Mus musculus: one gene and its partners. The protein of the gene in region 3 interacts with the protein of the main gene of each other region in a pairwise test. Links are inferred from orthologs where the notes say so. Each region holds a gene or a part of one and is shown on either strand. Other genes may lie near its edges.

What was found.
Region 1: the proteins of Tecr (region 3) and Hacd2 interact in binary tests that used the Homo sapiens proteins (3 or more experiments, as listed by UniProt). The link is inferred for Mus musculus from reciprocal best matches to the Homo sapiens genes TECR and HACD2.
Region 2: the proteins of Tecr (region 3) and Creb3 interact in a two-hybrid assay, tested with the Homo sapiens proteins (2 studies listed by BioGRID and IntAct). The two-hybrid records come from large-scale screens. The link is inferred for Mus musculus from reciprocal best matches to the Homo sapiens genes TECR and CREB3.

Annotation. Positions count from the first base shown.
Region 1 is NC_000082.6:35,097,826-35,103,895, forward strand, and holds part of Hacd2 (very-long-chain (3R)-3-hydroxyacyl-CoA dehydratase 2), read left to right. Parts: intron 1-1,930; coding exon 1,931-2,052; intron 2,053-4,120; coding exon 4,121-4,299; intron 4,300-6,070. UniProt on the Homo sapiens protein: Catalyzes the third of the very long-chain fatty acids (VLCFA) elongation four-step cycle (condensation, reduction, dehydration, and reduction).
Region 2 is NC_000070.6:43,564,363-43,569,036, forward strand, and holds the end of Creb3 (cyclic AMP-responsive element-binding protein 3), read left to right. Parts: intron 1-898; coding exon 899-1,005; intron 1,006-1,104; coding exon 1,105-1,173; intron 1,174-1,757; coding exon 1,758-1,842; intron 1,843-1,931; coding exon 1,932-2,016; intron 2,017-2,106; coding exon 2,107-2,435; 3' UTR 2,436-2,699; downstream 2,700-4,674. Other genes in the region: Gba2 (non-lysosomal glucosylceramidase), read right to left, coding at 2,827-3,105, 3,363-3,554, 3,638-3,753, 3,834-3,976, 4,076-4,182, 4,293-4,444, 4,524-4,631. UniProt on the Homo sapiens protein: Endoplasmic reticulum (ER)-bound sequence-specific transcription factor that directly binds DNA and activates transcription. Plays a role in the unfolded protein response (UPR), promoting cell survival versus ER stress-induced apoptotic cell death.
Region 3 is NC_000074.6:83,590,751-83,597,620, reverse strand, and holds the start of Tecr (very-long-chain enoyl-CoA reductase), read left to right. Parts: upstream 1-3,129; 5' UTR 3,130-3,266; coding exon 3,267-3,281; exon of another isoform or gene 3,282-5,251; intron 5,252-5,764; exon of another isoform or gene 5,765-6,870. UniProt on the Homo sapiens protein: Involved in both the production of very long-chain fatty acids for sphingolipid synthesis and the degradation of the sphingosine moiety in sphingolipids through the sphingosine 1-phosphate metabolic pathway.

The DNA.
Region 1 (6,070 bases), on a different chromosome or scaffold from region 3:
GTATGTTTGTGTACCATGTGTGTCACTGGTGACAACAGAGGACAAAAAATGGCATCAGATCCTCTGAAACTGGAGTTAAGGATGATTGTGAGCCACAATGTAGGTGCTTGGAATTGAGCCTAGGTTCTCTAGAAATGCTCTTAACATCTAAGCTGTCTTTCTACCTCTCCAAATCCCATGTTGATCACAAGGATGTATTATTGATCTACAGTTAATAATTGTCCAACATGGCCATTTTCCTAATCCTGACCTTTGAAAGAGTTAAGTGTAAATAAAGAGTAAAGTGTAAAAACTGTCCGTTCCTTCAGATGCCTGCTTGGCTGGGTCAGAAGCGAGAACTTTGAAGTTTACCTGCTTGTTGACTACCTGTCTATGTGTAGGCCACTAAGATGATACAAACCAATATTAGGTATAAAGAGAACGGAACTGGGTCTTTAGAGTGAGCCCAGTCAGTTGGATCCCTTTGCTTCACAGATAGTTGCAAAACTTTGTCCTGTGGAAAGCATCAGGTGCTTTGGGGAAACAAAAGATGAGTTTACACACTCAGTTTCCAAGGTGAGCTAGAGTACAGAACACTGGAGGAGCTGCCTATAGGAAGCCTTTAAGAGGTTTTAGCCACAGCTGTAAAAAATAATACTGATAAAATAAATCTATAAAAAACATACATCACTGTCAGATAATGAGGGTTACAAAGTCCATGAAAAGCAACATATCCGATAAACGTAGATTTTGGTATCCGATAGGCTTTAAGCAAAGCTTCATGGGCAGACTGGAGCCCTCAGTGTGAGCTTTAATGGTACTTAGCTCTGGCCTTAAAGCAGAAAGTACTCCTGCTCTTGACAGGATGAAATTCTTATTATTTTTAGAGAATAGTAACCATGCATTTATGAAGTTCTTTGTCAGGGCAATTTAGTTAATAGCTATGTAAATGACTACTTATTTCACTGTGTAGGTGGATCACTCCATGTACACTTTCTGAGAAAGAATGCAAGTGCTAAAAACTGTTGGCTCTGCAGATGGAGAGAAGCAAAAGTGAAGGCAGGGTTGCTACACCCTTGTCACTACAGGTTGGGATGAGACAGAGAAATCAGCACATAGTAGTCTGCTCGGTTTACTGAGTAGGACTTTAACTCACAGCCAACTCACCAACCATGTAGGACAGGGGAAACAGGTGAATCGCAGTGCAAGCTTGTCTGTTGGGTTTTGCTCACAAAGGATCTTTATAAACTCATAGTGGGGTGGAGGGGTGCTGGAGTCTGTATTACAGCCATAAATTCCCCTGGAACAGCACCTATCAAACACATAAGGGAACTTGACCAAGGTTACCATTTCTCTAGCGTAAGGCAGTCAGTGTCAAAGTCGTTCTGGTCTAGCTGCCTTGTGTGAGCGAGCAGGCCTCTTGTCTCCTCAAGAGGGTACCTGCTTGGTATATGGCCTGTGCCTCTTCTTTCCTGAGCTCACCCTACCCACCATGCTTGAATCCTCACATTTGTGTTCTGGAAGTGTCCTCAGATTCCCCGCTGTCACACTAATTGCACACAGATTCTTGGTGATGATCCCAAGCCTCCCACCCGCTTGTCCTCCTAGCCTCCTCTCCCTACCTACTTCTGACTCCTCCACCTCACTTTTCCCTTATCAGAGCAGCAAAGAAACTTGGTGTGTTTCTCTCTTGCTGAGGTATCCTGCTCATCCAGTTCCCTTCCTTGCTGCTCCCACTGATCCACAAACGGAGTCTCCTGTCACGTGCCTCCATAGAACTGTTGGAGGTGCCTTGTCTTTGATCAGCAAGCCCTTTCTAAGCTGTGCTGCAGCCATTTGAGGACAAGGATGGGTGGCTGTGGCCGGGCAGCCCTGCAGGCAGTGCACATTATAAAATGCCTCTTGTGCATGTTCCTTTGTTTGTTCTTACATCTTTTTTCTTCTCCTCCAGGTGCAGAGTGAAGACAGTGTACTTCTGTTTGTCATTGCCTGGACAATCACGGAAATTATCCGTTACTCCTTTTACACATTCAGTCTATTAAACCATCTGCCTTATATCATCAAATGGGCCAGGTAAAGAAGTGCATACAGCAAGTACTAACTTTGTAAGAACCCACACCATATCTGCCTTTTATTGCCTGACTATTGCCTCCAACTTCCCAAAACTGAAATTGGATGAGATGGGGATTTCACCAGAAAGGTCTTGACTTTTATCTGTAGAAACACTGTTCTAAAGTCTTCATATTTTACTTAGATTATTTTTCTTGAACTCTGTTCTTTTCAGTTAAGTTACTCAACAGAGACTTATTATATTATCTGTTTTTGTCCTTACTCAGTTTAGCTGATGAACTTGTCCCCTTGTGGTCCGTGTCTACATCTCCTAGTCTTGTTTTGTCAAGAAACTATGACATGTGAGGTTATTTTACTTAATAGCAAACATTACATGGTTTTCTCAGCTTATAAATTTTATTTTGCTTTGATTATTTTTACCAGTAATATTCATTAAGAATCAGGCATGTGAGGCTGGAGAGATGGCTCAGCAGTTAAGAGCACTGACTGTTCTTCCAGAGGACCTGAGTTCAATTCCCAGCACCTACATGGTGGCTCACAACCATCTGTAATGGGACTCAATGCCCTCTTCGGCTGTGTCTGAAGATAGCTACGGTGTACTTACTTACATTAAAGGAAAAAAACAAAGAATGAATGAATTCAGGCATGGTGATTCACCCTTTTATAATCCCAGAACTTGGAAGGCTGAGGCAGGAAAATTGCCACAATTTCTGGCCCCAGAATGAGACTCTGGTCTCAACAACAATAATGAAATTTAATTGTGACTTAGACAAAAGGCTGATGGCACATCTGTTTATCCAGTTGTGATTTTGTGCATGAGGAACTGTGGGGTGAGGATGACAGAGCAGAAAGGTCCAGGCTGACTTTGGAGCTAAGACACCTCATTTCCTAAAAAGAAAACAGTTGTTACTACACAGTTTGAGTTTAGCGATTGAATTAGGAATGGAATCCAGTGTCTAGCATTTCAAGGATATGAGCCTTTTGTTTTTTTTTTAATAGACTATATTTAGGAGGAAAAGAAGGGAAAAGTAACAGCTTCCAACCAGCCTGCACGGCCATCATGAAGGCTGTCCGTCTGTGGGGACACTTGTTGCACTTGTTGGCCTAGATTTGGCTTTGTTCTCAGAGAATTCTTTGGCTTATTTTTCTCTGTGGTCTATGGACAGTTCTTCTCCACTGCCCTGCCTAATGATCTAGGTTGGCAACAGGGAAAATGACTTGTTTCTGGGCAGATTCTTGTGCCTGGAAGCTTAATCCAGGTTAATTTTGAGCCGTAAATGGCTACAGTTTCTTGAATTTGAGCTGAGACAATTTCCACAGGGATGATGGTGCCTCATGTATGTACATGTTTGGTCTGCAGGTATCTGTATCCACGAACATGCCCGCTGCCTGCAGAGGCCAGAAGACCTTTTAGTGGCTGTGAGCAACCACATGTGTGCTTAGGAATTGAACCCTGGTCCTCTGCAAGAGCAACGAGTGCTTTTAACCACTGAGCCCTCTCTCCTGTTCCCTCTGAATTCTTTTAAAAGAGATAAAAACTTTTTAAAATGAAAATAATTGTGTGAACACCTCATGAAATAGTAATTTATCTGTGTGGGTTTGTTTGTAAAATTCAAAGCTATTAGGAATTTTCTAATGTTAAAATTAGTCAAGATTTTATTTTCACAGTAGTTTGTATGGGCATTTTGGAAGTAGCAGAATGTAGCTGTGTAATGTACTGTTTCCTTCAGTCTGCATGCAGCTTGGCGTGCCTTAGGGATTCCTGGATGGCTGCTCCATCTCCTTCCTCTCCGTCCCCACAGGGAAGGAAGGCCCTTGTTAGAGTTTAATGCCCCTACTCTACCGTTCTAAAGCTGCATGTTCTGAAGGAGCCAGGTTTCGAAGCTGACTGACAGTTACTTTGCTTTAGAACATTTGGAAACATTTGGGAACCTACAATGGCCGCTTTCAAAAACTGGCATATAAAGGCTAAATAAAAACGGGGAATGGAGCTGCAGACACAAGCTTTCTGAGAAGGCGGTGCTTGTAAATATGGCTCTGAGCGCTCAGTGAGGGCTCTGTTCTGTTTCAGGTACACACTTTTCATCGTGCTGTACCCAATGGGAGTGACAGGAGAGCTCCTCACAATATACGCAGCTCTGCCCTTTGTCCGGCAGGCCGGCCTGTACTCCATCAGCTTACCTAACAAATACAACTTCTCCTTTGATTACCATGCATTCCTGATTCTGATCATGATCTCCTACATTCCACGTAAGTATATTTATGTGATAAAGGTCAGCTCTGCGGTAACTAGAGTTACATCTTTGCTCTATGTGTAATATAAATCACATTTATGGGATGCTTTGGTTTTTATTGACCACTGACTTTCAGAGGGAATTTTCTCTGGCAGTAATTGGATAAAGATGAACCCTTCTCTGTAGCGCTGCAGTGTGCAGGTCACTGCTGTGCTAGGCCAAGTAGGAAGGAGAGAGCAGAAAACCAGATGGCCTTACCTTAGCTTCATTTTCCTGTCTCTTCAGAATTGCTTTATTAAGGTTTGTGAAAAACATTGTAAGAAGATGTTCGCATTGCTCAATATATCAAAATAGGCAGTTTCACTTCACTTTAAGAGACCAGTAGCTGATCAGAAACAAATAACAAAATAAAAACAGATATATTGTTTTTCTACATTTCTCATTGAGTACAAAACCCTCAGAATTGGACACAGTGTTCCCTGCAGTGTGGCTTCCAGTTATTCTAATAGAACCTCTGATGGCTTAAATGTACGGAAAATCAAATGTACCTCTGAACGCACAGGACCAGAACAGAAAGGGCACGTTTGACAGTGAGGAGTGTGTCTTTTTCTCGGATTCTGCTCAGTTGTAACTCCTGGTTGATTTCTGTATTCCAAAAGGACCTTCTTAGACCCAAGGACAAACCAAGCTCATTTGGCAATACTGTAGCCACTGTAATTCTTAGTCTTCCCTAAGCCCCACTAAGTTCAAGCAGGGATAAATTTCTTTAGCCCCCAGCATTATCTGAGTGAGTCATCCTAACCATCATAAATGACATGTTTGTGTCCCTCTGTAGAAATTGCATTTTACGCATTGTAAAGAAAAAAATTCTGTGCAGATTTCATCTGAACATTTATCTTGGAGAAATTCTTGGACACAGTCCTGCTTCATGATTCAGTTTCCACTCTATTCATTACCAAAAGCTTCCTTTAACACCAAGACCTTGGTGACTAACAGCCATTTTTCTTCAGAAAGCGTGCTGGATGTTGAAACAAAAGGCAAATCTGGAAGAGTGCAAATGTACATGATGCAAAGGCATGGATTGTCACCTTTGAGGTTTGCCCCCTAGAGCAGCAAGGCACAGCAGTGACTTTACTACTCTGAGAATAGCACCCCCTGGGCGTCTCGGTATTTGCTTCTATTCTGATAAGCAGGAGATATGTCCCACTCTGAATGACTAGAAAGGTCAGGGAAGGCATCACACATTCACACCTCTGCGGGGACTTCACCCTGATGATCTTCTCTCGCTGGCAACCAGCCTGGCCAAGACTTCCTGCTGCCTACTGCTAGGCTGATTGTCAGGTCAGACACAGCAGCCCTCCATGACACTGGGGCCCCTACTGGAAAACACAGCCAACCCCGTGGTATTTTCCATCTTGACCTTCAGGGAGAGAGGATCAAGCACAGGCCTAGGTCAGAACTCTGCCCTCATCTTTTTTTTTTTTTTTTTTTTTTTTATAGCAGTGAGATTACTAGAAATGAACACAGGGCCTTGGGCATGTCCTTTCCCACTAGCCTGTGTCTGCAGCCCCAGAACTCTTTGTTTTTCATTTATGCTTACTTATTTGTTAGGAGAATGTATGTGCGTGCACACATACTGCAGCACACATGCGGAAAAGTTTAGAGTCAGTTTTCTCTTTCCATATCATATAGAGATCAAACTCATGCTGTCAGACGTGCTTAGCAAGTGTCTTTACCCACTAAGTCAGCTCAGGTTTATTTATAATTATGAGTGAGGCATGTGTGCA
Region 2 (4,674 bases), on a different chromosome or scaffold from region 3:
GCAGGGTCTTGTAAACCCAGGCTGGGCTGGCCTCAAACTATGTAGTAGGGAAAGAATGCCTTTGAATTCCTGATTCTCCTGCTTCTAACTCCCTCGGACTAGATTACAAGTGTATGATGTCACTCTTGGCTAGTGTCCAAGTTTGACAGGCATTATCAGAGAATGTAAGAGTTAACTTTATTCAGTTTTAGTTTCTGAAAGAAAAAAAGTTGAAAGTACCTTAAGATAAGGATATATTCTATATCACTTTAGAGACTCTAGGAAAATCAAATGAATGGAAATTATAAGAAGATTGATGTTGCTTTAGGATAAGGGTAGATGTTGTTGTTGTTAGTTTTGAGACATGGTCTTATGTAGCTCAGTCTGTCCTCAAAAACTACCCTAGCCAAGGATGGTCTTGAAATCCTGACTTCCTTCTTCTGCCTCCCAAGTGCTGATACTACAGGCATGTACAACCACACCTAGCTTAAGTGGAATTTTTAAAATTAATTAGAGACTGGAAAGATGATTCCGTGGTTTAGAGTACTTTCTGCTTTTCCATGGGGCATGAGTTCAAGTCCCAGCTCCCACATGGCAGCTTACAATCCGAGGAGATCTGACACCCTCTTCTAGCCTATGTGGGCACTAGGCACACCCATTATACATATACGTTATACAGACATGCAGGCAAAACACCCAAACACATAAAAAATAATAAAAAGTCTGGCTTTCTAGTGTTGAATATCTGCTCCTTGGTGTTCACACAGAAGGTAAATGCCTACTGACAGAGAGGCTGTGGAGAGTATTTGATTGGGAAGAAGGTTAGCTGTCTTCCAACATACCTATGTAGTATATATAGGTATAACATACAGGCATATAATAACATACTGTGGGTGACCTTTCCCCCATCTTCTCTTAGGTGGAGGAACAAGTTCTGAAACGAGTGCGGAGGAAGATTCGTAACAAGAGAGCAGCTCAAGAAAGCCGCAAGAAGAAGAAGGTGTATGTCGTGGGGCTGGAGAGCAGGTAAGCAAGGATGGACACGGGGGAAGCCTGGAGGGTCTTGAAGGGAGGAGACACAATATTTTGAAATCCACGTGTCCTCACATCCATGTTGTCCTCTAGGGTCTTGAAATACACAGCTCAGAATCGGGAGCTGCAGAACAAGGTGCAGCGTTTGGAGGAACAGAATCTGTAAGCGGCCATTTGAAGACAATCGGTTTTTTAATGCTTTCTCACTCTTTCCACTGTTCCACATGACTTCCAACTGGATAGCTCAAAAATGCAGACATCCGGAAGTTAGCCATGTCTCAAGCGTGATGGAGAATAAACTTATAAGTAGCTAAGGAGCAATTAAGTACCAAGATAGAGAAGTAAGAAAAGACTGCAGGTCGTCAGCGTCATTGCAGTTGCAGCTGTGGGGATGGGACTGGGAGGAGAGAAGGCTGCATTGTGCTTGGCTGGCTCTAGCTCTGGGGTTGGGTAGAGAGCACAGGGCTTGGTGGGGAAGCACAAGCTTAGTTGATCAGGTACTGCAGCTACTGGAGAGTTTTTCTTGAAGGTATTTAAGTCAGGACAGAGCAGTTTGATTTTTTTTTTGTCTCACTAAGGAATCACAGGCATTTGTGCACAAAGACACTTGGGGTGAGGGGGAAAGGCAAGGAAGCTGAGACTGGATCCACAGCATGAGTGGAGAGGGTAGCTAAGACAGGAGGCCTTCATCGTGCCTTGCATGCTCGGCCAGAGCATGCGCACTACCGTCTCCTCTCGTCTCTTAGGTCCCTTCTAGATCAACTGAGGAAGCTTCAAGCCATGGTGATTGAGATAGCCAACAAAACCAGCAGCGGCAGCACTTGTGTTCTGGTGAGGAGGGTGACAAGAGATCCTTTCCCTGGCAGAGATGGGGTGTGTGACCCAGAGCTCTTCACCCCCTTCTTCTCCCTGTGTTCTAGGTCCTCGTGTTCTCCTTCTGTCTTCTCCTGGTACCCGCTATGTACTCCTCTGATGCAAGGGGAAGTGTGCCCGCGGAGTATGTTGGTAAGAGGCTTAAGGACACCTTCGGGCGTGGTCTGTGGTAGAGAGAGGGCTTCTTCTGTGTGGTCTCCTGACCAGTCTTTGTCTCTTCAGTGTTGCACCGCAAGCTTCGTGCCCTCCCCAGCGAGGACGATCATCAGCCGAAGCCATCTGCTCTATCGTCAGAGCTACCCATGGACAGCACACACCAGTCACTGGACAGCTCAGAACATATGTTCTTGGTCTCCAGCAACTTTTCCTGTGTACTGTACCACGCGCCTCAGGCAGAGCAGCCCCTGCACTGGCCACTCTGGGATCTTTCTTCAGAGATGCTCTTCTCCGACTCCAACCTTCTCCTGCAGGCAAACCTTTCAGAAAGCGAGGGATGGCAACCTAACCACAGCCCTTCTTTGGTCATCTTTCAGGGCAGGTATTCAGGTTAGGTGTGAGGATGTGGGGTGTCCTCAGCCTGAGGACTCCTGTCTGTATTCAAATAAAAAGGAGCAGGGGAAAGCTGGCCTTTGCTCACGTGCTCTGTTAGGATGCCCAGGAACTCAGACACACCACACTAACTAGTTTTCTGAGTATTTTATTTATACCCATATGTATCTGTTGCCCCGTGAATAGATTTGGAGACATTTACTGGCCTTGAATACTTCATCCATGGAAGGACTGGGTAGGGTAAGAAATAAATAAGTGGTTCCTCAGCCCCTTTTTACTGGCACAGCTGGGAAGGAAGAGGGGCGCGATTGTCCTATTGGCTCAGGGCTGCAGGACTTGTGGGAGGAAGGAGGAGGTCCAGTGTGGAGGCTGGGCCTCCACAGTTCAGAGGGATCACTCTGAATTGAGGTTTGCCAGCGATCTCTTTGGTCCACATTCAGGCTGTGTGCTTAGTCCCGTGCCTTGTGTGACTGATGGCCTGCGGCTCTTTTTATGCTGCTGCTGTTGCAGGGCCAGCTGCATGGCCCAGATGCTCAGTGGCCGCATGTAGGCCAGGGAGCGGAACACTTGTTGCTGGCAGTATGCCTCTGGGGTCTGGAAAGCCAGGCCCAGGCGTTCCCATACAGTGCGGTAACAGCCTTCAGCTGTCCGGAAACCTTCCCAAGTCAGGCCCTGTGGGGAGACGTAGAAGTCACACATAATAACTGACTCTTGGCACAATTACCTTAGCTGAGCAGAGAAGACAGGAGGCCGTTCGCCCTAAAGGCAAGAACTTAAAGGCAAGAGGTGGAACACTTATTAGGGAGAAGGGCGCTCTGTGGACGGATAAGATGGCAGGCAGTAGGGTGTTCTTGGAATAAAGTTAGTGGCTGAGGAAGTTTTCTGGACCTCAGTACAAATGGTGAAGGGCTGGGAAGAGAATTCATTACCTCTTGGATCATGGTGGCTGCCAGCCCATAGACCACACCCACCCAGACTTCATCAGACTGCACACTGGATCTATCAGGGACACCATGAGGGTGCATCCCGTTCACGGCCCCCATGGCTCCTCCTGCAAAGGCTTGGACGTTGAGTTCAAAGATGGTTTGGAGAGCACGGACCACATGCAGGGTAGGAAATACCTGGAGGGAGAGCAAAGGTGGAGTCTCAGACTTGCCTCCCACCTCCAGGGAAACCCAGACTTCTGGCTTCTCCAGCCTCTCACTTCAGTGTCTCCTTCTCCCAGGCCGCAGGCCCTCAGGAACCACTGCCCAGCACACTGGTCAGACATGATGCTCCGAGACTGAGGATGGGAGCTGCTGTCGTAGTTGTAATAGCGTCCTGGAATAGAGAAAGAGCAAAGTCAAGTTGCTTGTATCCCGTAGTTGGGTTTTAAGCTGCCCCAGGTTGCTTTTACTCACCGTTCCACAGCAGTCTCTCATAAGCTTCTCGGCCTCGGCAGAGAATGGAAGCAAACCTCTCCTGGACATCTTGGGCCCCACACAGAACAGCCATCTGAACCATTACAGCCACTGCCGCCAGCCACAGCCCTCCGCAGTAAGCACTGGGTGGGAACAGTGGCTGGAGTGAGACCGGCCGCTCTACACGGCATCCTCACATGCCCGGGTCTTCACCTCAGACCTGGAAATCCCTACCCCCAAACCTGGGGCCTGTGGTGACCCATGCATCATAGGTCTGGTCTGCGTAGCCTCCATTCTCAATGAGTCCATCTTGGTCCTTGTCAAACTTCATTTCGGACTCCATCACAGCCTAGAGAGGGATCAAGACACTGAAGACCTAGGTTCTAAGAAAGAAAGTCTGGGTTCTCCCAAGACTCCAGCTACATCCCTGGTATACTGGACACAGTTCTCGTTCCTTACCAGACACACAGGCCACATGTCCTCCAGGAAGCCTTGATCACCCGTCAGGTAATAGTCCCGATAAATTTGCAATACAAACTTCAGGTTCAGGTCCTTCCAGTCAGCAGTATCATGAATCAAATATGCGTTGACCCGGAGCCATGGCTCATCATCTGTTGGAGGGGAGGGGACCTGGTTCAGTGTGTCAGTGGACAGGATAGCAGGTATAGAGACTGACAGACGGAATCTCACCCGGATCCCCAATGTCATGAGGGATGACGTTCCTCCTTTTCACAGGTGCCACCACTCCACTCATCAGGTACCGTCGCCGGGTCAGGTCCTCCTTCAAAGTTGCCAGAGCTGGGGGAGCGGAGACACAAGTACGTGAGGGAAAGCAGGGAAT
Region 3 (6,870 bases):
TGGAGATGGCCTACCATTTTGCATGGCAACAATGGGTGTGCTTTGAGAGACATGGACCCCAGAGATTTCGCCCCAGGATTGCTTCTTGCTGCTGCTGTGTCTTTCCTGCCACTATCACACAGGCTAAGGAATCCTGGGCATCAGCCCACCCTATTGAGCAAACTTCCTGCAGATCATTATGAAGGTGTACTTTCATGTAATAATGCTGTTTAGATGAATTGATGATTTCATAATTCCTGATAATGATTTTATAGAACTCTTGAATTGATTCAAGTAATTTTAAGCTCCTGGTAAAATAAAAAGCTGCAAATAGAGTTTTTAAAAAAATATTTATTTATTTATTTTTATGTATATGAGTACACTGTAGCTGTACATATGGTTGTGAGCCACCATGTGGTTGCTGGGAATTGAACTCAGGACCTCTGCTTGCTCCGACCCTGCTTGCTCTGCCCCAAGTTTATTTATTATTATTATATATAAGTACGCTGTAGCTGTCTTCAGACTCATCAGAAAAGGGCATCAGATCTCATTACGTATGGTTGTGAGTCACCATGTGGTTGCTGGGATTTGAACTCAGGACCTTCGGAAGAGCAGTCAGTGCTCTTAACCCGCCTTATAAGCCATCTCTCCAGCCTGTAAACAGAGTTCTTTGTTATGGCATGTAAATTGCACTAGGAAGAAAAATACACTTAGAACAAATCAATTATTCTAGATCAGGTCCAAGGATGAGGCCACAAGTGTGCACTATGGAAAAGCAAGGGCATGTGAAACTGTTGCTTTGAACTTGTGAGCTTATAGAATGAAACACTGCTTTGAACTTACTATTGACATCTTCTGGGACTCCCTTTTGTTTAGCATTTTATCTGTGAGGTAATTTTATAAAGAACTTTTGTCTAAGAAGCTATAAAAAGGCTGGGAGAAAAATAAATGTGTAGATGTCAGGCTGACTTCCTTTTTTATGTTTTTTCTTTCTCTGTGGAGCCAGTTATTTATTTCGTAGTGTTCTGCCTGCATATATACTGCAGGCCAGAAGAGGGCACCCGATCTCATTATAGATAGTAATGAGCCACTTTGTAGTTGCTGGGAACTGAACTCTGGACCTTTGGGAGAGCAGCCAATGCTCTTAAACTCTGAGCCATCTTGCCAGCCCTCACAAAGAGTTAATGAGCTTCTCGACAGGCCAGTGAGAGGCCCCTGAGTTAAAGAATAAAGAGTCCAAGTAATTCCATTTCTTTTCCTAATCTCCTACTGCTATCAGCAGGAGTCACTTGCCAGAAGCCACCAGTCCTGGTCCCCAGAACAGTAAAAGAGGGTTAGTGACCAGAGGGCATTCTCCTCTGCTCTGCGCCCCACATCGGTACCTGAGTGTCAGGGTGGAACCCTGACAGTTCACAATTTCAGTTTTCTTTACAGCAAAATAGTATTGCACAGAGTATATGTACCACACTGCCATTAGCCAGCCGTCGATCAGAGAATGTTTACGTACGTTGTATTTCCTAGCTACTGTGTATGGCAGCCAACATGGCTGAGCAAGTATCTGTGGAGTGAGAAGTCCTTTGGTCATATGCCAAGGAGCAGTATAGCTGGATTATATGGTTTATTTTTTTGGCTTTTTGAGAATTCTCAAACTTATTTCCATAGTGGCTACACCAGTTTGCAATCCTCCCAGCAGTGAACAAGGGGTTACCTTTCCCTACACGCCCTCTAGAATTTGTTAATGGTTGTTTTATTGGTTTTATCCATTCTGACAGAGATGAGATGAAGCCTCAAAGTTTAATTTCTGTTTCTCTAACTCTAAAGAATGATGAATACTTTGAGATATATGTTAGCCATTTGTATTTCTTCTACTGAAAACGTCTGTTCTGATCCACAGCCCCTCCCCCCTTTTTCTGGCAAGAAAGTCTACAATTTTATTGGGCCTGTTATATAATATTATTAAACTAACCCTAAATGCCATGTCTGAACATTTATTCCTGCAGTATATACATATATATATTCAGGCTGCAGACTACAGCAAGCAGAATCTGGCTGCACTAGGCTTTTAACATTTTATATTTACTTATGAGAGTGTGTGTATATGTGTGCTTGCACATGTGCCATGGTGTCTCTGTTCCGGCCTTACATTATGTGGGTCCCTGGGATTGAATTGAGCCCATTAGGTAGGATACCAAATGCCTTCATTTGTAATGTCTTTTTTTTTTTAAGATTTATTTATTCTATATATATGAGTACACACTGTAGTTGTACAGATGGTTGTGAACCTTAATGTGATTGTTGGGAATTGAATTTAGGACCTCTACACCTCTGCTTGCTCTGGCCAACCCCACTTGCTCCGGTCCAAAGATTTATTTATTAAAATAAGTTCACTGTAGCTGTCTTCAAACGCACCAGAAGAGGGCATCAGATCTCATTATGGGTGGTTGTGAGCCACCATGTGGTTGTTGGGATTTGAACTCAGTACCTTTGGAAGAGTAGTTGGTGCTCTTACCCACTGAGCCATCTCACCAGCCCCTGTAATGTCGTCTTTCTCTGCACTGTTCTCTGATGTCCTGTATTTTTAGACTGGCAGCACCTGTCATTTTTTTCCTGTATATTTCAAGGGCTCAGTAGCTACATGTGGCCAGTAGTAACCAAACTGTACACGATAACGCAGGCAGAGACAAAGGTGGTTTTGCTTCTAGGGCCAGCTCAACTGACAGGAGCTGTTTTAGGAGGGGCACCTGTAGAATGCGGTGCAGGTTTTCTTTTCCTTTCTCCATTCGTGATATCTGGAGTCCTTTCAAGGGTCCTGGTGATGGATGATAATCTGAGGTCTCATCTCTTAGATGAGCTTCTCTACATCTACGAATTCACCCCAAGCCTGGCTCTCCGGGCCACGCAGCTCTTTGTTCTCGTTTTGCCGCATTGACCCCTCAGCCTGACGTCGCTGGATTTCCACCGCAACACTGCAATGGGCGGAGCCAGAGGGCGCGCGGCGCCCAGGCTTCCTTTTGATTGGTGGGTGGCCGGGTTTTAATCTTGCTTGCCAAAGTGGGGGGGAGGGGGTCCGCTGCGCTCCTTGGATCGAGAAATCTGATTGGTCAGTTGTGTGGCGCGAGCAGTGGGTGCACCCCACGCTGATTGGCAGGAGGGACGCACGCATAGAGGGGGGCGGAGCCGGAGTCCGGGAGTGCTGCTCCCCGAGTGTGTGTGGAGCTGGGTGGTGTTTGGTGCGGTACGGCGGCCACTCAGTTGCAGCAGAGCAGGTGCCATCCTGTGGAAGAACCATGAAGCACTACGAGGTAAGCAGCGCGGGGCCCTGGGCCATGATTACCGCAGACCGCAAGTGTCCTGCAGGGCCTCGGAACCTTTTTTTATGGTCTGACTCTCCGCCATGGCGCAGGCGCAGTGTAGTCTCATTGCGCATGTGCAGGGGGGTATTTATAAACCTGCCACCCAGGTTGTTTGGGGATGCCTTTTCTTAGGGTCTTGCAGGGCCTAGGAGAAGCTTGCAGCTTCCTTGCAGCATCCTTGATGGCCTGAGTGGCAGGTGTTCAGGAGGAGTGCGGTGCGGAGCACTTGGTTTTGGTACGAACGATTCTCTTGCACAATCCTTGCACGTTGTCAGCGCCTCGGGCTCAGGAGGGGCTCTGCAGCCAGCCTGCCTCTTCCGACCTTCGCACCCACCTCGCCAAGATGCCTGGGCGGCGAGGGAGTTGGTTCCAGGGTCACGCCAGCCCGTGACCGCCAGGGAAGAAATCTGAATGCGCAAGACCATTCTGGAAGCTCATGTCTTCTGACTGTATCTTGGGTCACCTTTCCTCTTAAAACCAAATCTTCTAATGCTCTTCTCGACCTGATGATACTAATTTCGTTGTTGCTGACTTTTAAGTAATCATCATAAAACAGTAACTCACTGCTCACATTCATAGTAAGAATACATTAGTCAGGGCTAACTACCGTATTACTGAGGTTTTGTTATGTCCTCAGACTCATAGTCCTCTGCGGAGGGATTTGTAGTTTGTTACTATGTAGGTGAAAGTCAGAGATGTCCAGTGAGTTGTTGGAAGGTCCCTGCTAGTAATTGCAGAACAGAAAGGAAATGCAGATTTCTTTTCAAAGGCATAGTTTCTAACCACTAGCAGTGCGGTTCCGGGTAAATGAAAGCTGCCAAGCTGAGAGTTGTGTGTATTTCTCCCCTCAGATCTTAAATTTGTGATGAATTTAGTCAACCTCAGCCTAGCCTTAGGTTAGGGTTTTTTTTGTTTTTTTTTTTTTTCCCCTTCCCTGCCTGCTCCCTCAGTTTGTAGTGCTAGGCTTAGAACTCAGGGCTTTTCTCCTGCTAGGCAAGTACTCTAAACTCTCTTTGATCTTGTAAAACTGAAGCTGTACAGCAGTGTACAGTATCTCCCCATTCCCTCCTCCCCCAGCCCCTGGCAACCACCACTTGTCTCTGGAAATTGGCATACTTCAGGAACCTCCAATACATAGGAAATAATCCTATTTTTTTTTATCACAAGTTGAATACTAATATTGCTATTCATCTTCTGTATCATGATTATTGTTGGTAGTTTTCCCAGGGCCTGTGAAATGAATCTTGAAATCCCCAGTCTTTTTTCTTTTTTTTTTTTTAACATGATGCCAGAGGACCAGAGATGGGAGTCTGCAATCCTTACGCCCCATCAACTCTGTGCTTTCAAAAGGAGGTTTGTTCCCTGGGGTGTTTTTCCTTTCCCACCCCCTCTCTTGCTCTGGGGGAAAAGCCATGTTCAGTTTGAGAAGTACAGGCGGATGATGGAGTTTGCAGCCAATCATTTTAATTTGCTAGTAGAAAATCAGGCCAGGTAGGCTTCTGAGACTTGGGGCGGGTGCTTTGTTTCAAGGAGTGTGAACACAGCCTGAGGCTCACAGTTTGGCCTGGAAAACTTGATCTGGTTTATTTCAGAGCCTGATTTCTCCCAGTGCCTCGATGGGCTGATGGTAGTTCCTCCGGCAGAGCAGTTGTATGCACAAGTGTGCACACACGCGGCTCGGAGGCTCTGGGTTCCACAGCAGCACAAAGGCAGGGAAGAACCAAACTGGGGAATAGGGGTGGAGCTCATTTGGTAGAGCACTTTCCTAACCTGGGTCGGATCCCTGGCCCTGAGGAAAACCCGGCAAGCAAGCTGGTACACGCCTGTAGTTCCAGGTCTTGGGACATGGAGGCAGAAGGATGCAAGGTTATCTTCAACTACATAGTGAGTTTGATGCCAACTGGGGCTAGAGATCCTGTCTCAAAAATGCAAACCAAATGAAATAGACAAAAATAAATAAATAAATAAATAAATAAAAACAAAGTTTGAGGGGCCTGGAGAGAACACCACAGGAAGACCAACAGAACCAAGTAACCTGGACCCTTGGGGTCTCCCAGAGACCGAACCACCCACGAAAGAGCAAACAAAGGCTGGACCTGGGCCCTCCACACATACGTAGCAGATGTGCAGCTTGGTCTTCATAGACAACTGGAGCAGGGACAGAGTTCCTGACTGATGCCTGCCTGTGGATCCTGTGTCCCTAACTGGGCTGCCTTGTCTGGCCTCAGTGGAGAGAATGCGCTTGGTCCTGCAGTGACTTGATGTTCCAGAGTGGGTTGGTAACCAGGGGGGCTTCTCTTTTATCAGAGGAGAAGGGGAGGGGGTGGGGGAAGCTATGTGAGGGGGGCCGGGAGGAGAAAGGGGGCTGTAATGAGTATGTGACATGAATAAATAAATAGATAAATAAATAAAATAAATGGGAAAAAACCCCAAAAAGCCAATGTGACCTTGGTGAAAAAAAAGTTATTTCATATATATATATATATATATTTTTATTCTCTGTTGACATTTGTTTAATACACACTGAGGCCATAGTTTTGGGACAGGAGCATCTGCTATCTTCTAGCCCAGTTTGCAGAGCCATTTGCAGTACCATTTTATTGGTACAGACCAATAAAAATGGGAGAGATGCTTTCATAGTTAAGATGGGGAAAAGTGTCAGCTTAATCCCCATTAAGAGCAGAGCTCTGGGCTCTTAGGCCTGCATGCAGGAGACCCTGAGTTCCAGCCCCAGCCCTGGATAAAACCAGGCGTGGTAGTTGATGCTTGTGATTGATCCCAGTACTTGGGAGGTGAAGGCATTAGAATTACAAGTTCAGAGTCATCCTTGTCTAGCTACATTGTGAATTCCAGGCCACCCTGGTAGGATGGCTCAGCAGGTAAAGGTGTCTGCTATTGAACCTGAAGACTTGGGGTTAGTTCCTTTTAGTTCCTGGAACGCAGGTGGTGAAAGGAAAGAACTCCCACAGGCTGCCCTCTGACTTCCACTTGCATGCATCAGTGTGCATCACAGGCTGCCCTCTCTGACTTCCACATGCATGCATCAGTGTGCATCACAGGCTGCCCTCTCTGACTTCCACATGCATGCATCAGTGTGCATCACAGGCTGCCCTCTCTGACTTCCACATGCATGCATCAGTGTGCATCACAGGCTGCCCTCTCTGACTTCCACATGCATGCATCAGTGTGCATCACAGGCTGCCCTCTCTGACTTCCACATGCACGCATCAGTGTGCGTTCAATTACAATAAATAAAAATGTAATTTTTCTTGAGGTAGAATCTGTGTAGTCTGTGTAGCTCTGCCTGACCCTGAGTGGCCTGGAACTTGCCTTGTAGACTAGTCTGTATCTGGCCTTGAACCAAGGGATCTCCCTTTGTCTTCCTAAGTGCTGGGTTTAAAGGCGTGTGCTACCACAACAGGCTAAAATTTTAATTTAAATAACAAAGTAATAGATACCTTTGAAGGACTGAGTCGATCCTTTGCCCTCTTGCACCTCTGTCCACTGGGAAACCTCCCGTCTCAGAAGCCTCGGAGGT